4 linked regions of the Drosophila melanogaster genome follow. Changing the gene in region 3 together with the main gene of any one other region gives a genetic interaction. Each region holds a gene or a part of one and is shown on either strand. Other genes may lie near its edges. The genes, in order: not, E(Pc), htt and Klc.

Evidence for each region.
Region 1: of htt (region 3) and not, changing one enhances a phenotype caused by changing the other (phenotypic enhancement), as found in Drosophila melanogaster (one study listed by BioGRID).
Region 2: of htt (region 3) and E(Pc), changing one suppresses a phenotype caused by changing the other (phenotypic suppression), as found in Drosophila melanogaster (one study listed by BioGRID).
Region 4: of htt (region 3) and Klc, changing one enhances a phenotype caused by changing the other (phenotypic enhancement), as found in Drosophila melanogaster (one study listed by BioGRID).

The regions. Positions count from the first base shown.
Region 1 is NT_037436.4:18,617,786-18,623,957, forward strand, and holds not (non-stop), read right to left. Parts: upstream 4,345-6,172; 5' UTR 4,328-4,344; coding exon 3,587-4,327; intron 3,048-3,586; coding exon 2,646-3,047; intron 2,585-2,645; coding exon 2,474-2,584; intron 2,407-2,473; coding exon 1,592-2,406; intron 1,423-1,591; coding exon 1,380-1,422; 3' UTR 1,021-1,379; downstream 1-1,020. Other genes in the region: bora (aurora borealis), read left to right, coding at 5,002-5,279, 5,338-6,172. UniProt on the Drosophila melanogaster protein: Histone deubiquitinating component of the transcription regulatory histone acetylation (HAT) complex SAGA. Catalyzes the deubiquitination of histone H2B, thereby acting as a coactivator in a large subset of genes.
Region 2 is NT_033778.4:11,450,585-11,455,843, reverse strand, and holds the start of E(Pc) (enhancer of polycomb), read right to left. Parts: upstream 3,656-5,259; 5' UTR 3,461-3,655; intron 3,076-3,460; exon of another isoform or gene 2,959-3,075; intron 2,452-2,958; 5' UTR 1,528-2,451; coding exon 1,375-1,527; intron 1,311-1,374; coding exon 1,175-1,310; intron 1,020-1,174; coding exon 781-1,019; intron 712-780; coding exon 557-711; intron 257-556; coding exon 89-256; coding exon of another isoform or gene 54-88; intron 25-53; coding exon 1-24.
Region 3 is NT_033777.3:28,694,230-28,699,411, reverse strand, and holds the start of htt (huntingtin), read right to left. Parts: upstream 3,171-5,182; 5' UTR 3,081-3,170; coding exon 3,007-3,080; intron 2,741-3,006; coding exon 2,483-2,740; intron 2,420-2,482; coding exon 2,203-2,419; intron 2,142-2,202; coding exon 2,012-2,141; intron 1-2,011. Other genes in the region: snu (snustorr), read right to left, coding at 4,254-4,428, 4,488-4,819, 4,886-4,946, 5,010-5,182.
Region 4 is NT_037436.4:12,745,919-12,752,039, forward strand, and holds Klc (kinesin light chain), read right to left. Parts: upstream 4,139-6,121; 5' UTR 4,045-4,138; intron 3,922-4,044; exon of another isoform or gene 3,792-3,921; intron 2,981-3,791; exon of another isoform or gene 2,889-2,980; intron 2,765-2,888; 5' UTR 2,740-2,764; coding exon 2,138-2,739; intron 2,024-2,137; coding exon 1,903-2,023; intron 1,837-1,902; coding exon 1,357-1,836; intron 1,286-1,356; coding exon 980-1,285; intron 913-979; coding exon 895-912; 3' UTR 698-894; downstream 1-697. Other genes in the region: CG32109 (uncharacterized protein), read left to right, coding at 1-7, 63-318, 379-560; CG10984 (uncharacterized protein), read left to right, coding at 4,689-4,821, 4,884-4,937, 5,389-6,121. UniProt on the Drosophila melanogaster protein: Kinesin is a microtubule-associated force-producing protein that may play a role in organelle transport. The light chain may function in coupling of cargo to the heavy chain or in the modulation of its ATPase activity.

The sequences.
Region 1 (6,172 bases), on a different chromosome or scaffold from region 3:
TGCTTAGTTCTGGATGTTTTGGGCAGCGTTGATAATAATTTTGCCTCTTGCGCTCGCATATGCAGCCATTTTACTTGAAGTTGGGATAATTGTACGACTTTTGAAACTACATTTTAATCCGCGTTCTGACGACACCTAGACTTTTTCCAACTGCGACAGTATTGCAAAGCTCCCGATCTTATCGATAAGGTAATTGACCCGATAAAATATACATTTCCTTTAATAAATTAATAATAATTCAAGCTCAGAAGATGGTAGTCTCAGAAAAAGGATTTTATACCTTAAAATAAATAAAATTCCTCACGAAAATTGAGGAACAATTATGTATAGCTGTGACTGTGAAAAGTTTAATTAGACAATTGGATTTTATCCAACAAGAGTAGGTTCTCATTACACGGAATTAAAAAATGTATGCTCATAAATAGCATATTATATTCCCAGATAACATTCAATGTGGTTTGTGCATCGAATAAGTAAGCAAGCGTTCGAACCAAGCGCACACTATAGTTGTCTCTTTTTAGCCTGCTCATAGCACAAGGCAGAGCGATGGAGTGAGAGGGCTCGCACATTAAAAAGCGTCATTCTGATCGCTCCCAGTACCGCAGGCTCGTTGGTCTAGAGGTATGATTCTCGCTTCGGGTGCGAGAGGTCCCGGGTTCAATTCCCGGACGAGCCCAAGTTGACGTCGGTTGTAATTTTTTTTTGTTTTTTAAATAATTGCAATGTATCTTAATCCCAGTTTCCTAAGCCCCCAAAAATGTAAGTATTTAAATTTACAATTATTGCTCTCCTTATTTAAATGAAGACGAAATAAAAAAAATCCATGACATTCATAAGCATGATTTGGATTTTGGTTCAGTTATAACGGATGTGTCTGAAAATGAGTTTTTAACATTTTTTTTTTCAATAAAAGGCATTTCAAGAAAAATGATAAAAATTCGCTTTCCATTTGTAATACGGCGTTTGTAGAATATCCCTTGTTTGATTTTTAAATATAAATGTATAAGTCATCTGCTTGTTGTTTTTGATTTTGTTTTTAGTATTATGGATTTGAAATACTTAGAGCAAAACGGGTATCTCCACAAATCGAGTGTTCAGATTGATTACATTTTCATTAATTTCCTTTTTTTTTGTTCTCCATTGTTCGTTCCAATGTTTTGAGTTTGTGAGCTTGAATAACCCCAATCGAATCAAATGAACACTCCTCAAATTGTAGGATTGCTTTCGTGTTTGTGTTAATATTACTTAATATGTAAGCGCTGCCGCGTCCTTGTCTGTATTTTGTGTTTATTCGTAATTCGTAATGCATTGACTTCTGTTTTCTGCTTTTGTTTTTTGAGGGATGCAGTCGCTGCTTTAATCGATCTCAGCGGATTTTCTTACTCGTATTCCAGCACATTTTTATGGTAGAACAATAAATAACTGAAAGAAGTGAAAATAAGTAGTTAGTTAATAATGATTTGATAATCCGAATAAAAAGCTAAATAACGTTGTATATGAATTTAAGATAAGACGTGAAATCAACTTAAGTAAGTTAACATTGAATGCTGCTTTTGCGGTGATAAAGTTGTAATATATTGGTCATTCTTACCCCTCGCTGTCCAGCACCTGCTTGAGCGATGCCATCGTTATCACATGATCATCGCACTTGACCCACGTGTCCTTCTGGTGCCGCACATACGCCGTATAGTGGCCGGTGTCGATGGTGCCCACATGATTGACCACGGCGTACAGAGAGAACCGGAAGTCGCCGTAGGCGTTCTTCTTCTCCGACATAAAGGGCGTCATGTCGAACTCCACGGGGAATTGAATGAACGAGGAGATCTTGCGATCGATCAGAGCTGAGTGCTCGAAGCGTTTCAAATGGAACGACACCACGCTGGGCAGAGTGCGCAGGCTGAACTGTTTGGTGGACTCCTGGTAGGATTTGCAGGTAGAGCACTTGATTTTGGCCGCCGATCCGAGATGCTCGGCCCGAGTGTACCGCTCCAGGCAGTCTATCAGCGTTTTTGGAGTAACACCACCATGCGTTGTTGTTTCGCCCAGGTCCAGCGAAATGTCCCAAAACGGATCGTACGTGGTGGACACTCCGTTGCAGGCCTGGCACACCACATCGCTCTGCAGCATGCCCGTGAAGATCTGGTCAATGATGCAATTACACTGGCCGTAGCAATGCGAGCTGCTCGAGTTGCTGGAATTGGTTCCACTTCCCGAGCCAGAGCTGTTGCTCTTGCTTTCGTGCTCCGCCTTTGCCTTCACGCAGTGCCGATGCAGCACGTCCAGAGTGGCGATGAAGAACTCGTGCGCATCCTGCTGCTCGTAGCCGGCCAAGTGCTTCGCATGGTTCCAGATTAAATGCAGTAGCCGGTGCAGCGACAGCGGCGAACGGGAGCCGGAATAGAACTCCTACAAAGGGGGATAGCATATCGAATAGAAAAGACTCCTCATAAACACCACAGCATATTGAACTCACCTGGAAGAGACGTGACACTTCACAAACGAGACATTTGTGCGATGACTTGCTGCCGCAGTCGTGACGATCTGACATAAAGTAATCGCTGAGCAGGGGCGTGTGAACCAGAGCCTAGAGGAGACAGGAGTAAGTCAGTGAGAGGAGACTCGCCAGTTTAATTGGATTTGCCCACCTGGACGATGCAGTTCATGAAGCAAGTGGCGCCCAGATTAAGCAGACCCCTCAGTCCGATCGTTTGATTGGGCCTCACCAGCCGACGCCTCGCATTGGCCAGCAGCAGATTGGTCTCCTTGGTTGTGGGAACCCACGGCACCCAGCCGATGCTCTTCTGCAGATCCTTCGCCTCCAGCTTGCGGTTGATCAGCGCATACTCGCGACTCCGCGCGTCGTAGATGAAATCTCTGCAGGCGTAGCAGTAGAGCGTTCCGTGGGACAGCTCCAGGGCCACATTGTGCTTCTTGGATCGCAGGTGACTCGTGATGTGGGCCCCCCGACATCCGAAGTAGATGCAGTGCAGGCAAGCGTACAACTGGATGCCGTAGCTGCCGCACTCGAAGCAGTTGCAGTGAATAGCCTGGCGGAGGTAGATTTTAAAATGGCAGCTGATAAAAAATTATATTCGTTTTTTTTCTAATCCCATTAACTTTACAAAAAATACGTCCCATACTAAATGCATAAAAGTGTAACAAAAATTTGAAAACTCTAAATCTCGTAAGCAATATAATATATAATCAATATGAAGCTAAAAATACAAAAGCCATGTAACAATATTAAATATTTTGAATATATTTTTCTTGATATGTAATTTCACCGTAATGAAAACAAAACTTTTTCGATGCAAAAGTATTTTTCACAGTGCCAATTTGTCAGCTGTTAAAACAGCTGTTGCATGCTTTACCCATTCAAAAAAGTCCGCACTGCTTTGTGGTGAGAACGGTGCGTTGTCTGCCACTGTCATCCCACAGCCGGGGTGTCAGTGACCTTTCACGTGACTCACGGCGCACCTCTGATTGTAATTGCGTTCTCCCCTTCGCACACTCGCACATTCTCACCTCACCACGCCAGTAGCGCACTCATTCTAGCTCCCACTCTCTTCCACGCTACTGAACTCACCTTTCGCTCGCGCGCATCTCTGTTGACGCAAGCAGCGAAGTAGGCGTCGATGACCCGGAATGTATCGTAGCTGTGCTCCTTCACATAGCTTTGATAGTGCCGACAACCCGTCTCGGACATGACGGCGCTGCTGGCGTCGGCGCTAGCGTTGGCTTGGGCGCTGGCGTCGCTGCCGGCGTCGGCGCTCTCAAGTTCAATAGCAAGTTTTTGCACGGTACGCAAGCAGTCCGATAGGCGCAAATGTTTGGTGGCATCTAGGGGGTTTTTCGCGTCCCTGTGGCCCTTTGCTACTCTGTCTCGCTGCTTGTCGCTGTTAACTGTTTTGATTAGATCGGCGGTGATAAAGCGACCGGCATTTGTTGTTGTCGCTGCTGCTGCTGCTACTGCTAGTGTTTCGTTCTCGGCCGTTCCCCGGCCCGCTTCTGCACCCACCGCCCACCGTTCCGTTCCCCTGCCGAAGCTTCGGCCACTGCTGCTGCTGCTGCTACTGCTAAATACGCTCGTATTACTATCAACACTATTCTCTTTTGTTTTCGCCCGTTTCGCCGACGACTGCAGCGGCACGAATGCTTTGTCACACTTGCGCTGTTTTCGCCGAATTTTGGCCACTTTTGCGGTTCTTCGCCGGGCGGCCCAATTTTGGAAGTAGTTGGGCTTTTTTTTTGTGAATTTCTGTGATTTTTCGCTTGCTTTTCTTGTTTCTATTTCGCACTGCACGCAAACACATACACACGCGCGCATATGTGTTGGTAGAAGACAGCTGTCAGTGTGACCAGTTGCGAAATCGTACTCAGATGTTGGCATTGGTATTTTTCTAATATAAGAGTATTGAAACATTTAAAACGGAATATTAGTTTAAATAGAAAGTAAACTAAACCATTCAAGATAAAGTTATATTGAAATGGAATCTCTATTCGGGTTATAGGAACAATAAAAGGTTCTAGCAGCCCAAATATTGAAATGCATCCATATTCGGATAATTACGAGCTACTTATTCCTCAAGTTTATAATGGGATACAATTTTGTATACCAGTAACCATTCTTTATTTTTAGACTGGTCCCATTTTATTATAAAACGGTTAAAGTCGCCCAGCTGATGTGTTATCGACAGCAAGCAGCGGGTGGCGCGCAAAATAAAAATACTAAAAGTTAGACGGGAGTCGAAATAATTTGCAGGCACTTTTAGATATGCGAATAAATAAATATTAAGTGACAAATCAGTCGTTAGCACCTTTTTTTCCTTGAACATCCCTCACTTTCGCATTCTGCTTTTCGAATTGCCAACGATTCGATAACTCCGCTGCATCGCTATACAACACTGCTGCATTTGAAAATACCGACATCTGCCTGCGAGTCGCAGCAGGCGCGCTTGTTTTATTTTAAGTCGAAATTAGGCGACTTAGTGACTGAAAAAGATGTACAACGACGAGGTGCGAACGCCGCAAGCCCTCAAGAATCGATACATTACAAATGTGAACGGATTGAAGTGCCGGGCGCGCCGTAACAGCCACTCGAACAGCAGCAACTCGTCGGCGGCGTCGGCAACGCCAACGAATGGCGGCAAAGAAAATGGAAAATACAGCCCCCAGATGTCGGGAAATGTGTGCACCCCGCCCCCGAAAAGGCTGCACAAGGTGCGGAATCCCTTCGAAGGAGCGATGGCCGATCGTTTACACCTGCCACTGATCGCCAGGTGAGTTTTTCGTCTGCTCGAAAAATCCTCTTAACGCGACCCTCTCTTTTCCTGGCAGCCCCTCACTTTTCCGCTCGCGGACACCCCAACTCTCGTCCACCCAGTTCGAGTGGAACATTGACGAGGTCTCCCAACTAAAACCCGCCGACGTGGAGCCCCATGAAACCCAGTTCCACGATTCCCCCGATCCCGAGCAGGAATCCAAGGCCCAGTTGGCCATCAGTGCCTTTTTCAAGGAGTCACTCATTGTGCCCAGTCCGGTGGATTGCCCATTGCGAAAACAGCGCATAATACTCAATTGCAGCGAGGACAACACTCCCATATCGAATAAGTCGCGAAGGATGCGGGATTGCGAGGTGCAAACGGAACTTACTTTGCCGCCGATATTGCCAAAAGCCCTAGAGGATGCCCTGCGTCCGTACTTCCAGCCACATTTGGCTGGCCGCTTGTCTGGCAGGAGCAAGTCAAGTGGTGGTCCCGACATCTTTAATAGTTCCATGCGCCGGAAACTCTTCGATCTGCACAATGTCATTGTTTTGGGCGAACAGGACACGGCAGAGCCATCGAGGTCCATGGTGGGCTCCAGTCCGCAGGGCAAGCAAACAATGTTCGCTGGCAGACTGTCGGATTCCGCATCCGGGGAAAGTAGCTTCGGCTGCCTTTCACCCATTAGAAACCTATGCGGACTGCCGCCTGGCACGCCCGATAATGGTACTTGCTCGGGAAAGAGGAAACTTCTAATGCACGAGCTGGAGCTGCCGTCGCCCATTGCCCCGTCGGAGCATCTCAGTCGGAGATTGGTGCACTCCAAGGTAGAGATCAGCGTTACGGAGCAGCACGACACGTTGTCAGAGCGCACGGCATTGAAGTTCACGCCAGACAGGAGTTCCTCG
Region 2 (5,259 bases), on a different chromosome or scaffold from region 3:
GTATACAATGGATTATACGCGGGTCTGCAAATAAACAAGGAGTATTTCAGTACCTTTCTTCATAAGTAAAAGGTGTCCGAAAACGCACCTTGTGTTCTTGTACTGAGAATTCAGCTCGGAGTAGACAGCACCGTTGAAGTCGCGCATCTCAACGCGCTTCTCGAAGATGTTCACCGTCATCTTGAGATGATCGCGCTTCGTCTCCTCGCGTCGCCTCACCATCTCCAGTATAGTGGTGGCGCGCTGCAGGTCACGTCTAGAGGACAGGGAAAGAGTGGATTAGTTAGGGTCAGGTATGAAAAGCTGGGCAATAAAATATGCTGGCTAACGAAAACTACCTGGCTTTTTATAAACAAAATGTTGTATATGGGAAAATTCCTGATTAAGGATATCATGCATAAAAAACCTGCATTTAAATCGGGCAGGAATTGAATTTATATGATACAGAGAAAGAAAATGTTTGCAAGTTCTGTGTCCAGTAATTGCAGTGTAGCCCGATTAGCCAGCATTTAAAAATTTCTCAACCGACTTTAGGCAAACTTCACTCGATTCTTACCGCAGCTTGAGCATCTTTTCGTAGGAGGCCTCATCGTTCTTTCGATTTTTGCGGGTTTGCATTTTCTCGGTGCGACGACGAAAAGCCAAGTACGGATTGTTGGAGCTGGCGCCTGGTCGACTCTCAGTTTTCACAGTGAGGATCAGCGGGTGTTGCTAGAGAATGAATAAGATAGTTGATTTAGTATATTGCCGTAGCCAATAGCCAAGCTAAGTGTTTATTACCATCTTGAGGCGTTTGTTCAGCCAGTAATCGTAGACGGATATGCTGGTCTCGTCGTCCTGGTTAAGCAGCGACTTGGCCTCGTTCAGCGTGACCACCGTTTGGCCGGAGCTCTTTTCTAGCCGGTCCATCATCTGCTCGAACTTGAGTTCGGTAAGCTCCAGGCGCTGCTGCTGACTGAGCCAGTCCTCATCGGCACTGTCCATGTCGTAGTCAGGGACCTCGGTATCCAGCCCAAGAGCTGAGAGTTAAACAATTGTAAAAAATTAGTCCAAGAATAATACGAAACTACATAAGTTATTGCATTTCATTCAATATTGATATGGAATTTAAAAATAATGTTCTAAGCCCGAAACGAAACGAATTATTCTGCTCTAGTAGTTGCTTTTTGCTTACGTTGCATGTGGATCATTTGGCGGGGCATTTTGTAGTCCGGCGGATAGTAGGCATCGTAGAAGGGCTGATCCGTCTGCAGCACCTCGGGCGTGGGGATGATCAGACCCGTGCATATCGCTCGCTGCAAGTGGTGCTCCTACAAGGGATAAGGGACAAAATTAGTTTCATCCAAAATAAAGGATCACTGAGAAACTTCCTACCGACTCCTCCTCCTTCTCCATGCCACTGGGCATTTGAGGCACTGCCCGGTTGATGGCTGAGTACTCGGGGAGGTCGGGCAGCTCCTCCGCCAAGTAGATGGGCATCTGCTTGGACGGATCCAAATGGCGGGCTCTGAACGACAGCTTGGACATCTTGCTGGCTTTTGTTTGGGTTTTGGTTGTGGGTGGTTTTGGGTTGGGTTGTTGTGGTGTGTGGAACGTTTCTATTTGCTGTTGCTGTGGCTGATTTGAGAGTTTGCCTAGTGGAATCGACTGCTTAGGTGGCTATGGATGCTAAGGAGGCTACGATTGCTCCGGCGGTCCAACTGCAGTGGGCAGGACTAGTGCTGCAACTGCTAATTTGGATTCTGGAGGATCTACTCCGATTCGTGGTCGGCGTTGTGTTGGCTCCTCTACTCGATGTCGAGGGGGCTGTATACGTTAGCTGGAGATGGGGCTTGCTGGGGTAGAAAAGGTGCTGCTGCTTCTGATCCTGTTCCTGTTCCTGACACCGATCCCGATCGTGAGCACCGGGGCTGCGGTGGCTGTGGCTGCTCTGCCAGCTGGTTAACGCAGCCCCTGTGCCCGTTGCCCTGGCCGAAGACGTAGTGCTACTGCTAGTGAGGATTGGGTGTGGATTGGCGACTATGTAGGGCGTGTCCTCCTCCTCCCCCTGGACACTCTCCCGGCGGTCCGCCTGCCGCTCGTCCTCCTCCTCCGCCTCCCTCTCCTGTCGTCCTCCTTGATCCTCGGGAGCTCTGGCTGACAGCGCCGACAGCAGGACAATGGCCAAGGAAACGATCTGGTGGCAATTACGACGACAACGCAGTGGTAGCAACAACAGTGACAGTGAATGCAGCAAATGTGTCGACGACATTTTTCACGTTGAAATCGAAGGTTCTGTGTGAATTGGCATAATTACGTTCATCAAATTTGCACATTTCAGTTCATCATCGTTTTAGGTTAAATCAATATTGTGTTCTTCTTTCTTTTGCTTATTTGTTGACTTCCTCTTCTTGTTATTATTTATTATTATTTCGCCTTGGCTGTCGTGTTATCGGTTGGCTGATAAAAAATCTAGAATTGATAACAACAACAAAAACTAGTAAGTAAACAACTCTCACACACACGCATACATTGATATGTGAGGGCGGCGCGCGCGGGAAAAAACTCACAAATCCACATACATTTGTATATTTCTTTGCTTTTGCATTAAATTAATATTAACACGCACAAAAACACGATCCGCATGAGTCATGATTTTTTTTTTTTATTTAAATGCGATAAAATGCAAAATCATAGAAAGCCGAGACGAAGAAAAAGGCGGCATAAACAAACACACGCGCGCAAACACACATCTCAAACAAACGCGGCGAATTTAATACTGCCTTTTCCGCGAGATATTTCACTTTGCAGAGCCCTGTTAGCTAACATTTTGTTTGTACAGAACTCTGTTAAGTGAGAAAAAAAAACGCAATCAAACTCCGCCTCATGTGGGTTTTGTTTTTTGCTTTTATCTAGTTAATTAGTAATCAGCCATCGAGTGCGTATGTTTTTCTGGGCCAGCGCTAATTTTTTACACACTTTACCGCACTTTTCATGCATCAGCGAACGCAATCTGGTTGATAAATCGCCCGAAAAATTTACACATATAAACCCGATTTTGCGTATAGCGTGGTTTCGCTGGAAAGCAATAATGGCGGCCAGAGAGCCGAACACCGACGACGCCGCGGACAGCGGGGCCGCGATTTATTTGTGCCGTCGGCGGCGATAACGATAAGCGGTCGTCGATTTAATTGCCGCAATTTCACTGCAGGGCCCTGTCATATATGGGCAAAAATTAAATATTTACTGCTAGAATTTTTAAATTGCTCTAACATGACGTTTTCCTTTCAAAATATATATTTCAAAACCGCTACGGTTATCGATTAATCGCCGTTGGCAGCGCTAAATAGCCGGCCTCTTATTCCGATGACACTCCGAACAGTTTGTCAGCGCCCCCTGGCGAGCTCTTCGAGCACTATGCCCAACGCTGCATGATTTTTTTTTCACAAACAAAAAAATCGATTAAGATTTTTTCACGCACTTTTTTCACACTCTTTGCCGGGCGTTGGGGCCTCTTATATGATTAAATGATGTGGTTTTCAGCGTATTTACCACTGCCGCACCGTTTACAGCTAAATTCAAGCAATTGGCTTAGCGCAAACGCGTATAATCGTTCTTCAGCAGCGGGACACGTTTTTACTTATGGGCGGCCATTACGAATGAAAATTCGGAGTTGTCGGAGTCGAACGAAATCGTCGCCACAGTGGCGAAATTATTTTGGCTAGGCCTCCAGGCGAAATAGTTAACCGTTTTGAGTGCGGTTTTCATCTAAATCTGTGGAATTTTGTGAGGGGTCGCATGCATACATTTGGATAGCCGGGGCCAAGCTGCATTTATTTATTTTGTTGTTAATTTACGCAGCCCCATTCACCAGGTGCCCAGCTAGTGGTGTGCAAATAATTCGGAGTGCTCATGCGCTAGTGCATTTCGTGCGAGCTATCGGAAACACTCACAATTGCGGCATCGGCAAAGATGTGCTAACGCATGGGCTTTAACATTCGAAATTTATAAAAAATTGTTAATTCAAATTTGTATTTACAACTTGTTTGCTGAACAGTCGACATTATAGATATAGTTATTAAATGAGTAAAACAATTTTTGTTTTATTTTGTGTGCTGGATAGCTTAGAATTTTATTTGGATTCTTTAAATTAAACTTGTGCATACAGCATACAAATAATAATAACTCCACTTTGTAACTTCCTTTAAATGCTTTTGTTTTATTATAATCTCTTACAAGGCTTTTCGTACTCGCTGTTTTGCTTAACTTTGTTTATTTGCTGGTTACAATGTCTTGATAGTTTCAAATGTGCTCGTTGACTTAAAGTTTGCTCAATTTATATTCGAGAATACGATTAAAATTTACTCGCTAGTCCTTAACAATTTGTGGGGGTAATGCTGATTTGGCCAAGCGATTTTGAATGGTAACTTATGTCGGGCATTTGTCCAGCAAAGCGAGTTGGAAGCACCTGCTTAGTAAAAAGAAAGCCTCAAAGCCTTATGCTTGAAAAGCCCCAAGCAGAAGAAGCTCGATTTGCCAAAATCCCGCGCCGATCCTCCAACGTTATTTCAGCTGCTTTCGTATCCTTAGTTCTTTGGCTTCTCATTCGGTTCGTTCGATCGTATTATGTAATCATTTTTGGGCAATGGCCGCACGGACGTTCACAATTACAGTTGGGGCGGCGACCGCCTGTGGCCATTAGCGATTTATATTGGGTAATACTCGCCGGTGACAGGCGGCGCCCGATATTTTCATCTCTACCCTCGACGTTTCAGATGCTCGGCAATGCACGCGCGCCTGCCGCCCACAAAGTGCAGGAATTCATTTTCGGTGAAAATAAATACACAAATAAAATAGTATTTGGTGGCACTTGTGGAGCGGCTGTCGCGGCATTGCGACCACTGTGGCATGGATTGCGATGGCGTACATGATGAAAAATATAGTCAGACAGTGGTGTCGTATGTGAAAAAGCACCATTTTCGTGGGTGGCTGTGGGTGGTGGGCGTGGCGCAGCTGCGAGAGAGCGAAGGCATATCTCTCTGTCGCGGCTGCGCAACCGTGTTGGTGGTTGAAGAGAGTGGCGTGCGCAGGGAGAGGGCTCTTCTTCTTCAGCATATTACAGAATTAAATGAAAATAAGAAAATATTTTCAAGCCCCTTTGAGAGAATCCTGCGTACGCCACTGGTGGAATTTGTGGCGCGTGCGCCACTTGGTGTGGTGAGTTGGGGTGAGTGGGTGAAATGGCGAATTGAGGTGAGTGGCGGGAAGCACTATTTAGAT
Region 3 (5,182 bases):
TATTAATTAATTTTGCAGCTGTCATACACGTAGAAGCCCAAAATGAAGTCAAAATGAAAATAATTACTTTGACATTCTCGACCAGGTGGACAATCTGGGGGCCATGGAGTACGTTTTCAAAGAGATCAGCAGCGTTTTCAGATTATGAATTGGTCATTGTGCCATTTGTGCTGCCATACCAAGTTGCCATGGAAAATAATTTGCACTTTTTGTTTAGCTCGGCATCAGTCAGTGGGCAACATAAATTTTGCCAGCTCCCCTTTGCATCTGCCGACTTTCCTTTGCTGGCCTCGTTCGGCCGGCATTTGTTTACAACGTTGATTATCCGCTTTAAAGCTGCACAGGAATGAATATCTGATTCAATTTCGCATGAATTATTGCATGGAAGTGTCCAAGTGCATAAATTTCATTTCGTCTACGGGCGGGGAGACAAACAAACGGAGATGGCGTGGGCGAGGGCGGCTCTGCGGTCTGTGTTCTGGGGTCTGGGATCTAGGATCCCGGCTCTGAGCTCTGAGTTCTGAGGTCTGAGCACCGTACTTTGTGTCTGTTTGTTGGGGCATGCCAGAACACAGGCAGCCCAAGTACTATGATGGGTGCCCATAAAAAGAGGCGCCAGACTGTATAAGGATGCGCTGAAGAGTTGCCTGGCATTGTGCCTTTGCCGAGAAGTGGCATAAAGTTGACACAGGACTAGAAGACCGGTAGGCGGCAGGGAAAGGAGCAGAGCTAGAAACCGGAACAGGAGCTAAAGGAGTTGATTTGAAGGTAAACATTTGGACAAGAAAAGAGCAAAGGAAGAGTCAAGCCGAAGCTTAATTTATATGAACTTGGGCGAGGTCAGAATTTTGACTTCCATAAAGGTAGTCCTAGCAAATGAATTAGTTTTCCCAGTCCGGTATATCACTTCAATTGTTTGCAAATGCCAAACACCGAGCTCCTCTGAGGTTTGAACTTAATTTTTTGTTGGACAATGCAGCAGGTCATAAAAAGACGATGGCAAATGTAACGTAACTATGGTGCATTTACCTCTTCGTCGACGTTTGCCAATAATATTTTCATGAAAATTCAATAAAAAATGATTTGTGTTTGCAATTTTTAAGCATTTTCGCATGGCTCACGTTGCCATGACTTTTGTTTTTGCCGCTGCAGTTATTGCTGCAGTCCGCCAGTTAGCAAATGTTAAAATAAAAACTGCCCGCTATCGTTGCCTAAAATCAAAACAAATCTGGAAAAAATATATGTGTGTATATTCGTACATTCGATGGCTCGTCCATCGATTGCGCATGGTAACCAACAGCACTGTAGAAATATAATTTATATCAACTGTCTAGTTACTTTTATTGTGCCACGCCCCCTTTAGCGCCCACAGGCCACAGACAAACAAACCCATGGCTGTGATTGCATTCACAATTCGAGTTTGAATAAAACCAAAAACCATCTATTCCCGCGCTCGCGTAGTTCGCAGTTCGATGGCTTTACATTTTGGTAAGGTATTTTTCATGGATTTGCGGCTTTTTAGAATATTAAAAATATTTTTTAGCTGCAGAGCCAGCACGAACCTAACAATATATGTATATATATGACGATCTATGCGAGGCTTAGTATTTGGCCGTTACACGCTTTTTAAACATCTCTTTCATTATTGATGTGAATATAAAGAGCGTCCTGTTGAACACAAAGTGTCGTAGCGAAAATGCGTTAAATAACTAACAGCGATAGCAGCGAATAGTGAATACGTTTATCCAAAAGTGTACAAACAATAGAGGCTGTTATTAAGGCTGCAATATTGTTAAATTTAATGGTGTTACTCTTTGCGAAATAACAATAACAGCTGACCCTAGAGTTTTGAAACAAGTGTATCATTCTGCTGAATTTAAATTCCTTTTCTAATAGTAAATAACAGCACTCACGAACTTCTCATTTGCTATAGTTGCTAGTAAGGATGCAGTGTTCATATGGATTTTTCGTATTTCTCTCAGAAATTCATTTCCTATTTAAGCTGTCTTACCCATCACTTTGTTGACCCCATGTCTGGCCATGAGGCTCCTATTGCGTGCATTCTCAATCAGACTCATGCAGTTTTGGGCAGAGCAACGACGCTTGACGGCACAATCGGAGCTAATTTGGTCCAGAAAAGTCTGCAAAAGTCAACAAACGCTTAAACATAAAAAGAAAAGACGTTTAGGGATATTATTCTACCTCGAACAGTTTGCAGGATTCGCTATCGCTGAGACCCTGTTGTATATGGCGGCTAAAGTGCTTGACGAAGTCGCAAAGAGTCTCCTGGAGCAACGTCTCCTTGCGCTGGGAAATGGTGGTCATACATTGGAGCAATCTCACGGCATACCACTTGATGTGTTTCTCCTTTATTTGTGGAGCATAGTAGGAGAAAAGGTTTAGGCAAATCCTCAGGGATCTGTGCAGAAAGTTTTTCTTTTTTAAGATTGTTATTTTAGCTTTAATATATTTGCCTCCTTACCTCTGGTTACCATTACGCTTAATTTCACCATACAGATCCATAAGAATGCGACTGACCCGGGTTTTCTCGAGTGACCTCAGTATTTTATTTAGGTTTTCCTCGGCGCTCATCCGAACCACGGAATCCACATCCTCGCAGAACAGCAGCAGAACATTCGTGGCCGTGCCGCAGTGGGCGGCATAGTTGATGTGGCCCGCCAGCGAGGGCGACATGATGCACTCGGCAATCTGCTGAAAGCAGGTGATCTTCTGCTTTTGGCTGTGGGGGGTTCGAAATAAATTAGTTTTATTACAGGTATGTGGCATGACGTCATAGCGGATGCACTTATTGCTCAATGTTGAATGAATGTTTTGGGTGGCCTAACAAGTTGGCAGGTTCATCTTAAGGGCAATAAAACCACCGGAAATCACCTGGGCTTCATAATTTAATCAATATTGTTCCGTAATGAGCAACAAACTGTTGCCGGTCCCCTCCCCAAAACATTCAATGCAACCGAAAACAATCAAATTTCCGTTCAGTCCCACCTGCATTCCGTATTTCGCAGTTGTTCCACGAAGCCAACGAACTTGTCGTACGCACTGGACCTGGATTTGTCCATTTTCGCGTCCTTAATAACGCCTAAAATCGCTTTTTAAGCATAAACAACACAGGAAAACATTGCTCTTTTGTTATGATTTCAATCAGCTGTAACGCCAGTGTTACCAGAGCGCACAACTGCTTTTAAGCGGAACACCAGCGACCAGCCCTGGTATTCAAGTTAGCTATCGTTAAATATTTAAATTTTGAACTAACCTGCTAAATTATCTTTTTAGTTTTGGAGAAAATTAGAAGTGATAACATATTTATTAAATTCCAGCCAGTTGGTCACAATGAGTTGTTATTTCCTGCATTTAAAAGACTGTTATGGACATGCTAGAAAACAGTAACAGTGCATTGGCGCCAATGTTAAAATGAGAACATCTTTTTCAAAATGTAAGTAAACCAACAATTAAATTTAACTTTATTTATTTATTCACGCTTTATTATTATTTATACATAACTGCGTTCACATTAATATTTACTTAAATAAGAACGTTTTTCACTTGTTCGTTGTTCATTGTCTTATGTTTGTTCGTTGTGAAATATTTATGCTCTGCGCAAAATATTTCCTGAAATATATTTTTACATACTCTTTAGGGTTGCGTACATTATTGTATTTAATTATGTTTTACCTTAAAAAACTTAAACCCATACAAAAATGCTTTAAGCTACTTAATGTTAATAACAAAACCCACCATTGTTTTTGTTCGTTTTCATTGTGTTTTCTTTTTGTTTAGGCTTGCCCTACGTGTATTCGCGTGAATTATGTAGAAAAAACAATCACAGTCCATTGAAAATATATAAAATTAGTTGCGTTTGTATGTGATAAACTGCCCGTGTCGGCGTCGAGAAAAGGTCTAGTACAGAGGGTTGCAAATAATGGACATCTAGAGCAACGGATTACTGAATTCGTGACACAAAATATTTACAACATTTCATTTAGGAGTACCTAAACCTTACGCTTTAAACTACGAAAGTGCGGAACTTAGTCTAAGGAAAAACGAGTGCCGAGTGGAAAGCTAAGGAAAGCTGCGAATGTGCTTAAATAATTTATGACATTTGGGCAGATACGAAGGGAAGTGAAACTCGAAAGTGGAATTAAGAAGAAGACCCGAAGTGGGTGTAAACTAATTAGGACGACTTATCGTGTTCTAAAGTTAGGCATCTAAAAGTAGCGTAATATCTGAAGATCCTAGCCGCGTTTGGCTCGCAGCACGAGAAGCGTCAGCACCAGGAAGCCCACAATCCAGGACAGCGTGCTCACATAGCCGATGTACACATCCGACTCCAGTATCGCCCAGCCACGTGTGAGGATGGAGCGCAGCGAAGAGGTGGCTAGCGTTAGTGGCAGGCACAGTGATATGTATCTGGGGGATAAGATTTTTTAAATTTCCATTCACAACAGAGTAATACCACAAGAACTCACCTCAGCACCACGGGCATGCCCTCAATCGGCCAGATCACTCCAGACAGCAGCAGGGTGGGATAGAAGGAGCCCAGCGCCAGCTGTATGGCATTCCTCTCCAGCTCGCACACCGAGGAGATGAGGAAGCCAAAGCACATTCCACACATGCCCTGCAACAGGGTCAGCACGATGACCCAGAATAGGTCGCCGTTGTTGGTAACCCCGAACACCACCAGCATGAAGATCAACACCAGAGTGGTCTGTCCGCACATCACCACGAACTGGGTGATCACGTGCGAGAATAGAATCTCGAAGGGCGAGACGCCAGCCACCCAGGAGCGATCCAACAAGCCCTGGAATGGAAGTAAGCAAATTTTATTATAATTATTCCCAAAAGAGGATAGATTTTCTCGACTTACCTCAGTGCGCTCAATGATCAGAGCCGATGACGTCAAAGCGACAGCCAAGAAGAATACAATGCTATAAAATATGTGAAAAAAGCATTAATGACTCTCCCATTAAATGTATATCTATGAAACCTACGTCAAGATCACGCCAGGTGCCACGAAATCGGTGAACGATGGATTCATGGTGCCGTAGATGGGGTCCCTGAACTGAATGGGCACGTCGCCCAATTTCGGATTGCTGCCGCACTGGCCGAGAAGGCCCATGGCGAAGTCCCTGAAGGCCAACTGGATGTCCCGATTGAGCATGAC
Region 4 (6,121 bases), on a different chromosome or scaffold from region 3:
ACAAGACGTAAGTGTTTATAAAAGCAATAATAGTATATCTATTATATTACAATTACTTGCAGACCTCCTTTATCGACACTATTCCCAAGACGTTAGCGAAGAATGAACAGATTCAGCTGGGCTTTCTGCTAACCTCTTCCACTTCAGAAGAAGGTGGATTGTCCTTTGGAGAAATTAAGGAGAAAACGAATTTCCTTTTTGACATCATAACATTGAGAAGCAATGTTGAGAGTGACCCAGATGAAGCTGAAAAGGACTACGAGGAAGTTGTGGAGGGTTTGAAAAACGTAGTTTGGTCCAATGTCAAGTTTGGTTCTGGTTAGTGCCCAGGATTTGAGTTGAGAAACCAATAATCCATTTCGTCCTATTGATTTGCAGATCACAAGGAGGAAATCAGTGCCGACGAGCTGGATAGTCAGCTGAAGGACTTTGAAAACTTACTCCTCACGGCGCAAAATCTACGTAACGATACGAGTCTCACTCGGGAACAATTTCTGGATCGGGCTGAGCAGTTTGCAGGCATAGTTTCCTCGATTTTAAATGACAATGATAGCGACTAACTGATACTCAGTTATCGTAGGCAAACTAATCGTACTGTTTGTTATCAATAATAAATGTTAAGCTGATTCCACTGTAATGTGCTATATCTGGTCCGTATTTTTGGTTTAGTTTTGAAGGTTTAAATACAAACAGGATTATGTTAAATATATTTGGTTTATTATTAAAAGCGGTACATATTTTTTGAAATAACAAGGTATAAAACGTTGTTTATTTGCTAATGTATGCTTGAGAGCTTATGTATATTAAGGAATGAATAAATAAAGTGTGTGTTTGCTGTTAGCTTTCAATCATAAACTTAAAGATTCCGTTGTGGGCGATGAACAAATAATATTTTTATGGTTTCGCATTCTTCTGCAAGAATAAATGGGAATGATTAATTTAAGTTAATTAAGTTAAGTGATTCGATTTTGAAACTCACCTCCTCAGAGAAATCCAAATCCTCTTTAATTGCCTTCGATCGTCGCTTTTCGTTTGACGTTAGCAATTGTGAGAGCTTCGTTTGTTTAGCTAGATCGTAGGCTTCTTTTTTACTCCGCATTGCACAGTCTTCCAGGGTTTCGGCCGCTTCAAACATGCCTTGACGTCGGTAAAGTGCTCCCAGATTTTTTAGAGTGGTTGTGACCGTGGGCGAATCCACTTTAGCGGCCTTATGCCAACCGCCGTACTCGCCATATGGAGTGTTCTCCCTGTTATCGAATTTGTGCTCCTCACGCTCCTCAGCCACCTGAAAATTGTAGTAAGAAAAGGAACTTTTGAGTATTTACCAGGCATAACAGCACAACAACACAACATTACCTGCCAAATGGGCTTGTTTTTGCTGTCGATGGCTCCAAACTCACGTTCGTGGGCTCGCGTCAAGACCTGCTTATAGAGGATTTCAGCTTCGGTGTATCTACCTTGCTTCAGATAGCAGCCGGCCAGATTATTCTTTGTCTTGGCCACGTTGGGATCATCGGGACCCAACTTTGATTCGTAGATGTCGAGAGCTCGCTGGTAGTACTTCTCAACCTCGTCGTATTTGCCCTGATTCTGGCAGAGCAGGGCGAGATTGTTAAGTTGCTTGGCAACATCGGGATGATCCTTTCCCAGGACTTTCTCTCGGATCTCCAAGGCACGCTTGCACAGTGGCTCGGCATCTTTGTACTTGCCACGTTTGCCATAGAGGACGGCCAAGTTGTTCAACGTGGCCGCCACGGCTGGATGGTTCTCGCCCAGTGTCTTTCCTCGAATCGACAGAGCGTCGTTGAGTAAATTGGCGGCCTCCTTATACTTGTTCTGTATGGCACGAGATGTTGTTAATTAACGATTGTATAAATTAAGTTAATCAAAGCGTAGACGCACCTGATCGCGGTACACGAGAGCCAAAATGTTCAGCATGGTTGCTACATCGGGATGGTCGTGACCACTTGTCCTTTCGAGATCTTCCAATGCTTGCTTGCAGAGGGGAACGGCTACCTCGTATCTAGAAATATATTAGGCTATTATAGTTAATGATGAATTGATAGATAACGATGTTGTAGGTAAGGGGTTTCTTTAGTGCTCACGAGTAAAATAAAATGCATGGATGATGACTTACCTTCCCTGCGATGCATACTGAATGACCAGGTTGTGCAGAGTACGGAGACGCGCTGGAATCTCGTAGCCGGAAGTCTGGTTGGCGAACTGGCTGGGCGGAGTGGGCGACATGTTGTGTCTGTCCTCGTTTTCCTCGTCCGGGAATAGCTCGACCACGGGATCGGTGCGGGACTTGTCGCAAGCGTCGTCCTGCTCCTGATTCTCGTCGTACTTCTTCACGGACGCCATGAACTCCAGGTGCTTCTTCTCCTCCTCTAGTTGGGCCACCAGCTGCTCGGATGCCTGGAACTTTTGCTGAGTGTTGGCCAGCTCGTCGCGAAGCCAGGCGTTCTCCTGGTGGAGGCGGCGCACCTGTGTCTTAAGCTTGTGCTTCTCGGCCTCGATGTTCTGCAGATGGGATGTCAGGGCCATCATCACCTGGGCCTCGCTGAGGCCCAGTTCGATGTTCTCGATGTTCTTTCGCAGCATGTCCGACTTTTCATTGTCCTTCTGCACCTCGGCGATTCCGTTCATAATCGAAACATGCTCCACTCGCAAGGCTTCGAGGCCTTGAAGGACTGTTTTCGTATTGGTTATGATTTCGTCCTGCGACATTTGCGTCATTTTGCCGATTTTCTCAATTTTCTGTCTACAAAACACATACAAAATACAGATTAGTAAGTGCTCCTACAACCCTCTGACATCTGAAAGTGTAACAACATGAATGATATCAAAATTAAAAGGTGTTAATCGAGGTATTTGATGTGTTTTACATCCTGTATGATTTGATAGCTTTGGAGACAATCATTTTAACCGTATATTAAACGATTCTAGCTGCGTTAATCAATACGATGAAAAAGAAAATTCGCAGTGCGCATGCACGTTAAAAAAGGTGGTTGATAATCGAAAATGCCCGCGCTATTACATTCGCTGTAACAATAACTTTTAGAAACTACAGAAACTATTAAAAGTAAGGGATCAACTTTCTGGATTAAGTTAACTTCAATTTACTTTTAAGCCAAACAAATTCCAGTTCATTCAATTATGTTTTCTAATTGGAAACTAATGGTGGAAGCATATTCGATTTATATCGAATACTGTGCTTTGAAAACTTTCTTTTATTTATTATTTATCAACATTGCCGGTGTGATTTACATAAACATGACACTTCGTTAAAAAGTGTTTAAGGCCATTTAGTTCGTTTATTATGGTTATAATTATGGGCGAAAGTTAATTACACTTGGCGTCATGCAATAAACAAAAAACGAATGGCAAAAGTAGCTGCTTACATCAACTAAAATAAATTGTATAGTTTTTTAGAGACCGAAGCTATTAGTACCCTAACATATTCAAAATTATAGTTTTCTTTAGTCATTTGCCTTTCGAATCGGAAATCTAGATTGCGTAAAATGAGATTGTAAGTTGATTTTCGAGAAAATAGCTTTATTCTTAATCAAGATCGCCAAATATTGTGATTGGAATAGTCAGATTATAAATATTGCAAATGGGGTTACAACACCCCAGCTCACTAATTCCAGTGTATTAAAAAGTGAGTCACTTTTTGTACATAATATCTATGAACACTTAAACATAAAAGTTAGTGGCATTAAGAGATTGTATTTAGTATTTATCATGCTAAACGATTACTTAGGCCTTAGGCCTCCATTTGTGTTTACTTTGCCACACGAGCTGCCGCCGAGCACTTTTCCAACTAGACTTGATTATTTATGTAAAACGAATCATATTTTCCAGTAAAAAACTTTTCTTCAAGTGGCAGTCACTTATATTTATGTGCAACATATGTACATACACAGATAAGCTCAAGTAGATGTGTTTGTGTGTGGGTGAATGGATTTTGTCGTTCGAAATCCAGTTGGAAATGATTATGCAAGTTATCGCGCAGTGCATTCAAATATTGTAACTTATTACCAGCGGTTTTGCTCTGCAAACTCCTCAAATAAGCGAAATAGTGCGTAGATTTGCTATAAAAATATCTTACACTGCAAAACTTCTAAAATAAAACTGAGTGTGACCGTAGCCGGGGCGTTGAATTGTGTTTGACAAGCTAGGATTTTCTTCAACTGTGCAGTAGTGGTCACACTGTCGGGAGGAGAACGCAGTGGAATCGAAACACTAACTAAAGAAATGAAAATTCCTGAAAAAATCGGGTAGACTAACAATAAGACTTCGTATAATAGCTAAGATGTAGTATAAATAAAGTAGTAGTTAAAAGTAATAATGCGCAACATGCTATTTGTAAGCATCTATAACATGTTGGAGGTCAACAAACGCACATACCTTGGTGGAGCAGGTATTGATTTAGTTCAATAAAAAATTTAATTTTTGGAACTAATTAAAGGTGTATCTTGAAATTTGTACACATAATATATAAATTAATTTGTTGTTAACTTAATGGATTTGAAAACATCGTTATTATATTAGCAAGCTGGCATATTTTTGTATTCACGATACGGTCGCACTATTCTTTTTGTAATAAATTTTGCAAGACTTTTTCAAGTCTCCGTTTTTGTTCTATATTTTAATTTTTACCGTCTAAAACTGAACAAAAGAGTATGCCACCCCCAAGACCGAAGGGGATAGGATTTAATACAGGAGCTACCCAACCCAGATCGAACTCAAACACGCCAATGTCGGAGAGGCAGCAAATGGCTCTGCTCATCCAAATGACAGCCAACTCGTCGACAGGTAAATAAGCAAAATAATTAAGTGAATGTCTACTTTTCACATGATTCAAGTGGATTTTATAGTTCAGTCACAAAGCTTAGAACTTTTGCTCGTCGGCTTGAATTTCAATTTACATCGTGGGTACTTCGCTGCGTACATACTTACACGCATATACATCTATGCATGTACATATCTACGTATGTACATACATAAATGTATCTGAGAGTCAGGAATAATGTAAAAGTATCCGAGAAACTGGTTTCGATTGCGGATAAATTGTCATTTAACTGATTCAAATGAAGATACCAATTATTATTGAAGAAATATGTGTAAAGATGTCAAAAAAACCCTGTCTCTTATCCGAGCTAATACTTTAGAAACCAAAATTAAAAACAACTCATTTAACGATGCTTAAGTTCTTAGTTTTCACACAAAATCATTTTAGTTGGTTTTCCTTCAAACATAACTACAAATTCCACCCGAAAAGATATCCGATAGACAATAAGCTTTCATTTTACTTCCTACATGATCTTCCAAACTAAATCACACAGCCGTCAAATGTAATGTATAAGATTCTCGTTCTTGCAGATTCATCCCGCACCACCTTAAAGAAGAATGAATGCAAGAAAGGAGACGCAGAGACTGACGAGGGCAGCCTGAATGAGAAGCAAGAGGTCCTGGACACGAAAGACAAATCTTCAGCGGAGGAGAGCAGCAACGATGGTAAATCCAGCGATACGAATCATCAGGGAACTTCGGCTGCCAAGCGCTGCTACTCAGACATAGAGGAGGACTACGAGGAATCTGGCGAGGACGTAAAGAAAAAGAAGCGCAAGGATTCGGAGCATGGAAAGGACGTGAAGGGGGCCTCCCTGAAGCTCACATCGCGCGTGGAGAAAAGCTCCAAGCTAGCTGCAACGAAGGGATCCCCGTCAGGAAACAAAAGCAGCGCTTCCAATGCCGAAAAGGAGCCGGCGGAGACTAGTAAGAATGTAGATATTGAGAACGAAACGGAGTGCAGCGATGATTACAAGAGTAACGACAGCCTATACAACGGAGGACTCAAAGTGCCGCCATTAAAAATTGTGATTCCGCAGCAGAACTGCTCAATCGACACTGAGGGCAATGTGCTTCGAACTGGCAAGGTGACTGCCTCTCGCAATGCCGCCCTGCCGTATGTGGTCAGCTCCAATAGCGATTCCATTGACACCGTCATAACCAATCAATCTATTAGCCCGCACGAAAGTCCACAGAAGAGCAATAGCATTTGCTCCACAGCCCTCGATGACAAGAATATAAAGCTCTTCAATGACGAAAAGAA